Schizosaccharomyces pombe: one gene and its partner. The gene in region 1 interacts genetically with each later gene. Each region holds a gene or a part of one and is shown on either strand. Other genes may lie near its edges.

The links. Genes that interact genetically often act in the same process or in processes that back each other up.
Region 2: of res1 (region 1) and whi5, a mutation in one rescues a mutant of the other (synthetic rescue), as found in Schizosaccharomyces pombe (2 studies listed by BioGRID, with this or other methods).

Annotation. Positions count from the first base shown.
Region 1 is NC_003423.3:1,230,597-1,234,352, reverse strand, and holds the start of res1 (MBF transcription factor complex subunit Res1), read right to left. Parts: upstream 1,768-3,756; 5' UTR 1,019-1,767; coding exon 793-1,018; intron 666-792; coding exon 1-665. Other genes in the region: orotate phosphoribosyltransferase Ura5, read right to left, coding at 2,627-3,274; acetylglutamate synthase Arg6, read right to left, coding at 3,560-3,756. UniProt on the Schizosaccharomyces pombe protein: Acts as a positive regulator of the mitotic cell cycle and as a negative regulator of sexual differentiation. May be involved in the transcriptional regulation of the cdc22 and cdt1 genes. Is an integral component of the DSC1-like complex.
Region 2 is NC_003423.3:251,182-254,640, forward strand, and holds whi5 (cell cycle transcriptional repressor Whi5), read left to right. Parts: upstream 1-1,784; 5' UTR 1,785-1,966; coding exon 1,967-2,050; intron 2,051-2,128; coding exon 2,129-2,803; downstream 2,804-3,459. Other genes in the region: GTP-binding protein Bms1, read left to right, coding at 1-1,318. UniProt on the Schizosaccharomyces pombe protein: Has a role in meiosis.

The DNA of each region.
Region 1 (3,756 bases):
TTGAAGCAACTCCGAAACTACCTCAAAAGTCTGTAAATCATAGTTCATGGTAAACATTACACAGCGCATCAAAGATGTTTGTTGAAGGTAATTGACAGCAACTACGTTGGCGCCTGCTTGCAATAGTGCATGCATCATTTCCAAATTTCCCATTGCAGCAGCCCAATGAAGTGCTGTATGACCATCCTCATCAATGCCAGCATTAACATCCCAATCTGATGGCCGATCATATACGAAATCAGGAGGTTGTGTAGTATTTGGTAATAAAAAGTAATCCAAGAGAGACTGCGCATAATTGTTTGAAGAAAACGGAGAAGCTTTGATATCGTGCAAAGATCCCGTAAAGGAATCAGAAGGCATATCGGGAGAGCGCGTGAAATCAGATTGAAGAGACAAAGCATCATGGATTCCTGACATTCTAGAAGTAGATGTCATATTATTGGAAGATGTGTAAGGGTAGAGTAAAGAATGCGAAGGCCGGGAAAATGACTTTTTTACTGGACTGTTTCGTCGATATGCTTCTGTAGGCTTACGATTGCTCTGAGGAGTGAACGTAGACATTGGCATGAACGCAGAGCCAGAGTATTCAATCAGAGGTTGTATTAAATCAAAAACATTATATTCATGAGCAAGTTCAACAGCTCTTTCAGAGGGTACCCAAGTTCCTGAATGAATAGTTAGTAACAGGCATCCAAAAAAGTATAAATTGATAAATAAAAACAACAGAGACAAAAATTTTATGTTATTTAAGTAGTTTTAAACCTATTGATATAGTAAGAAGTTAACACAAACCTTGATATTTTCCACAACCACCTTGAATTTTTTCATGAAGTCCCTTTTGAGCGAATTTCTCCAGAATCCTTGTCCTCCTGGGTTTATCGAGCTCTGCAATTTTAAGGATTTGCGTGGCATTAAGCCAGTTATCATGACAACGTTTCATTAAAGGAAAGCCATTGATCGTATACTCAAATACTTCCACTCCTGAATAGGTGATTTTATGTATTTGGTCGTTATACATAACGGCACTATTGGCAAGCAATTTAAAAAAAAGGAAGGAAGGAAGAGCTTCAAAACTTGATGCAATAACAACGTTTCGTCTCTCTAAATGTTTGTAATAATTTAATGTCTCAACTCCACAGCGCCAGCTATTAATATCATATAAAAAAAAAAACGAAGCAAATGAGAAAGAAGAAGCAAATTGAAATTTCCTCTACAAAATATCGATAGTTTTTGAAAACCGAGTATTTATAGCAGATAAAGTCGGAAATACATATGATACTAACTGCATGCACTAAAGAAAGGATATATTCTCTCAGCGGCGTTTGCCTCAAAGATTTTTTCAATTAAAAAGTATTTAACTCTATGTTTTGAGTTAAAAACAGATGTTTTTAAAGACCTCTGCTATCCCTAAAAATCCACGTATCTTACCAGCTGATGTAAGATACTCAACTACCAAGAACTTTAATATGTAAGGACAGAAACCTTTCGAAACTTTCCAGATCACGATTTGTATAATTTAAATCAAAAAGCTGTAGATTTGGGTTTATCGACTACGGAGCCGATTTAGTCCGGATTTTTTCAACAGCGAGATCTCAGAAAAATCGAAAAACACTGCTTCTTACTCACCAAAAAAATCCCTAAAATCACAGTAAAGTGCTTCAGGAAATGCGGATCCTTTTTTTGATAAAAAGGAAATTTGCTTGCTTTTTTAAGATCTCACACAAACAGAACTAAATCTTTCACCCTCTCTTATGGTGAGTTAGTGGTAAACGATAAATACTTGAAGGTTACATATTAGTAACTCAATTATTGTACCATTCGATTCCACTATGTTAAACCAATTGTATTACATAAATGATAAAGAATTTCATTGTTCAACTCGAGTTTTTCTAATAAACCATTTTTATTTATAGACTGCAGTGACTACTTATTCAAATTCACATTGAATATGAGAATAAAAACATTCCAAAATTTCTTAACATTTTCTTGTCATAATAAAAAGTTAATCACCAGGCTTCTGTTTAAAGGTTTTACCATTATTTAATATTTGGTATTTCAAACACAGAGCATAAATACCCGTCGCAGAATTGAAAAATAAAATCCTAAATTTTTTATAATTGCCCATTATATGCGTCTTTCGAACGTAAATAATCATCACTAAAAACCAAATCCTACAAATTTTTACAAAAATAATACACAAATACCATTTTGTGAAACATTAATTATCCCTCAACTCAATATTTTGGTAGCTTCATTCCTAACTGTCATCTTGGAAAGATTCGAATAACACAAAAGAAGAAACAAACACAAAAAAAACAGATTCACGGAACTAATCAAAAGATAGATGGATATGTGCAAAACAAAAGCTTAACAAGTAAACCAATTTCCTTCGTCTATTATAGAGAAATTTTTGAATACCGCTAAATGCAATCGCTTTATAGAAAATTCCTTCTAATATGAGTTGTATCTATCACCACAAATATACAGATAAAAAAATTCTATAACATATGTAAATACCAACTAACTTCACTCTCTTTAAAAAAGCAAAGCTAAAAACCAAAAAAGATACTTATCCAATTATTCTCTTTCCTCCTTCCAAATTTTTAAAAGAAACATTACCATAAGCTCATTTGGCTTGGTACTGCTGTCTGTAAGCATCCATTGCCTTTGATTCAGCTGCAGTTAAGTCTGATTTGGTAAAGTCAACAATGTCGTCCAAAGTAAGGATGGAGGAAACGGGTAAGTTAAGCTCCTTCTTCAATCTACCAATGGTACTTTCGTTTACTTCGGGGTCCAGTCGCTCTTGGCGGTCAAGCAAAAGGACGATACCAGCCAATTTTACGTGCTTAGGTTCTAAGAAGGAAATTGCTTCACGAATGGCAGTTCCAGCGGTAATAACATCATCCAAAAGTAAAACCTTTTTACCTTCCATTTCGGCGCCTACAAGGTTACCTCCTTCACCATGGGACTTGGCCTCTTTGCGGTTATAGGCAAATCCATAGCTCTTTCCAGTTTTTTCATAAAGTTTGACGGCCGTTATAGCAGCCAAAGAGATACCCTTATAAGCAGGACCAAATATGACATCAAAATCAACGTTCATAGCGATAATAGTCTCGGCATAGGCTTCTGCAAGAGCGCATAAATCGGCACCATGAGTGAAATTACCAGAATTGAAGAAGTATGGAGATTTTCTGCCTGATTTTAAGGTGAAAGTTCCAAACTTCAAAACATTATGTTCTAAGGCACGACGCAACAACTCAAGTTTATAAGACATGTTTACTACTAGTTTTGTTGATAAACGTTGATACTCACAAAAGAAAAAAGCTAGTATCACCTTTTCTAAGCTCTACATGGGGGTTATGTGGGGGAATAAACAAAAATCATAACTAAAGAAAAATGCAAGTTTGTAGGCAAACTACTCAATCTATAATCTAATGTGCAAAAGAGAATTAATGTCCTATCAAAATGGACTTTTTTCCTTTTATTAAAAAGTTTGACAAGTGCTTTTGAAGAAGCGAAATAATCTTGTCTCTGATAAAGTGCAATCGTTAACTTCCACTCAATTCAACCATGTTGGCTGAATTTTATCAATAACGCTCATATACTGGTTCACTCGATCCAAATTTCTGACATGTGAGTCTCCAGTCCAGAAAAGTTTCCAAGGTGTTTTGCTTGACTTTAAGGAGCCTACACTTCTTTCAAAGTACCATTTATTGACTGGATTAGTCAGGCGAGAGCGCCATATCAACTCTTTGG
Region 2 (3,459 bases), 980 kb from region 1:
AGACGTTGACTGGTATACGGAAGAAAAGGAAAAAATTGCACGTCAGCTTGTTATAAATCGAGAAGCTTTTGAGGATATGGATCCTGAAAGTCGAGCTGAAATCGAAGGCTATAGAGCAGGCACTTATGTACGTATCGTAATAAACGACGTTCCGTTTGAATTTGTTGAGCACTTTGATTCTCGCTATCCCGTAGTTGTTGGTGGATTACTACCTAATGAGCAACGGTATGGATTAGTTCAAGTTCGTATTAAGCGTCACCGTTGGCACAAAAAAATACTTAAAACGAATGATCCTCTGATTTTTAGTATGGGTTGGAGAAGATTTCAGTCGATACCTGTATATTCAATTAGTGACTCGCGTACTCGAAATAGGATGTTGAAATATACTCCAGAACACATGCATTGTTTCGGTACCTTTTATGGACCCTTCGTCGCTCCCAACAGCGGTTTTTGTGCGGTCCAATCTGTAGCCAATTCGTTCGCAAAGGCGGGTAGCTTCCGAATTGCAGCTACGGGCTCAGTATTGAATATCGATCAATCGACCGATATTGTTAAAAAATTAAAATTGACTGGTGTTCCCTACAAAATATTTAAAAACACAGCATTTATTAAGAAAATGTTTAGTAGTCCTTTAGAAGTTGCAAAATTTGAAGGTGCCAATATCAGGACTGTTTCAGGGATTCGAGGTCAGGTTAAAAAGGCAGTTGATCAGGAACATGGACATTTCCGTGCTACATTTGAAGACAAAATTTTAATGAGTGACATTGTATTTTTGCGGGCATGGTATCCGGTACAAGTGCGAAAATTCTGTACAATGGTCACCAATTTACTTGAGACGGATAAAACGGAATGGAACGGTATGCGGTTAACAGGAGAAGTTCGGCATGAATTGGGATTGAAAACTCCTTTACGACCCAATTCTCAGTACCAGGAGATTGTTCGACCCTCTCGACATTTTAATCCTCTCAAAGTGCCTGCCTCGCTTCAAGCTCAGCTTCCATTTAATTCTCGTCAAAAAGCCTTACGTCCTAGAAGCAAACCGACGTACATGCAAAAACGTACAGTTTTGTTGAATGCAGAAGAACGGAAGGTAAGGGATTTGCTTCAAAAAGTAATGACTTTGCACACGGACAAGGAAGCGAAACGTAAAGCAAAGAAAGCAGCAGAACATGAGCGGTATCATAAAAGGATGCAAAAAGAGGAGCAAGCATATATTGAGAAGAAGCGGGAAGAAAAAGCTGAATGGTTTGCTCAACATGGGAAGAGATTGAGACAGGATGGTAATTCTTCTGGTTCAGGGAAAAGATCAAAAAATTAGATTTTTAAAAATGCGTATTCTTTCTGTTTTATTGAGTTTGTACTGGTGCGTCATAGACGAACTTTTACAACTACATATACATTTTGGGAATTTAATGGGTTTAATATTTTATAAATAAAATGTGTTTATTATTTTCTGTGTACAGTTTGCATTTGAGCTTTGTCTCTCTTGTGAATGATTTGTATCAACTATAAGGTCATGTAACCAAATAATTGGGAGAATATATCTATGTTTCTGAATGCAATTTTTTTGGTCTATTTGCAACTTCTCATCGACGAAAACGGTGTTTACAAAAAGACAAAGGTACCAAGTAAATTGCATATAACCGACATCAGTATATTCATGTAACTTTGGCTGATAATCTTATGTTTTTATTGTTTGTATGGTAGAGTGTTTTGTTACTTGATAATTCTGGTGTTCTGCCTGTTGCTTTTTTCAATCGTTTGTACGGGCAGGCGCGACTTTCGACTTACCAACACATCGTTCAACGCGTCTTGTTTCAATTGAAACAATTATATGCTATACGGAGGATTATTTGATTGCAATTGGATATTATAAAAGGAATTTATCGAAAGGAGAATTCGAATAGGCTAATAACTCGTCATTTTTATATACCTGCATACAGACGAACTCAACAAATATTAATTCATGGCAGGCGGCCACAAGAAAAATGAAGCTACAAGGCAGACTGATGAAGTTATTCAACAAAAATACGATGAATCATTAAGCAAGGTATGTCAATTACGCAAACACAATTAGGTAACATCTCGACGATACAAATAGAATCGTCGATGAATAATTTTGGTTTAGCATAAAAATCGTTGCGAATTGTCATTAACTTTTGAATACAAGTTATCAAACAAACTTAGGGCTCGTTTGAAGGCAGCGTTTTTTAAGGTCGATCATGGATGGGAAGATCAGACATTAGATCAAGTGGAAACGCTTGTTCGTAAGGAAAATCACGTTCATCGTAGATCACGCTCGATCAATGACTTGGACTCTTCTAAGCTAAGAAGGCCGCATCACCCCAACTCAATTATGGGATCGAATACAGGCAAGCTGCGTGCAAGTTCATTTACGCGATTGGTGAGCCCAAGAGAGGGCTTCGCTCAGCTTCCTTATAAGAAGCCTGTATCTCCTTACTCATCTTCTAGTGCTGTTTCTTCTACGTCCTCGTCTTTTGATAGAACTAGTCCTCCTTGGTTGAACTACGTTGAGCCTCATACTGAGCTACCCAGACTGCCATTTGAACTTAGCCATGCCTCCACTGCTTCAGCTAAATCTCCACTGTTCGGAATGAATTACCATATTTCACGCCCTGAAGAAACCGATGAGTCTCTTCGCCTTGGCACTGCAAACCTCAGTAGAATTCGCAAGTCCACGAGTCTTCCTTTTCCAACGGCTTATCCCCTATCGGCAGATGATTGCAAGGCAGCTGAAGTTATGCTTACGTTGGTGAATTCTATGCCTTCGAAAAAACCATAACATCCTTCATTTTAGATGGTATACGAGCATTAAGATATAAAATTACATAATTATTTCATGAGAGTTAATCTATAATTTGGATGAATAGATTGATTGTTCACATCCTGCTGAAGAATTTTTGGAAAAATCTCGTTTGAGAAGTTTTGTTATTTCTTGCTATCCGTCTCCAGTCCTATGGTTGATGAGCTATTAACCCTCTATATGTTTAAATGCTTGATATGTACAAGCCAAATTGTGATAATGCTTAATGATGTTTATGACAAAGGGTGAATGTTTCCGGGCGTACAACAGTCTTAAAGATCATAGAAACATTATTTACCATGTATTTATTAACGTTCTTCCTACATCTTGATCCTTATGATTTGAAATGATTATTATATAAGATAATGGAAATTCGCGAACTCGCAAAATTATGCATTCATTTCGAAGTATGGCTCGAGACAAAGCTATTTTTAAGTTTCTAAGAAAATAAAATAAATAAATAAATAAAAATAAGACCCTCCCATGAGCCTCATTACAAACTCTATTTTTTCTCAATCTCCATACGTTCAGGATCAATCTTCTATTTAAAGCCTTACTAAACGTCTTAATTACTTACATTTTTATTCTTTACCAAACAAACTCCTTTGTTAGCATGGTTGAGATTATATTCTCTC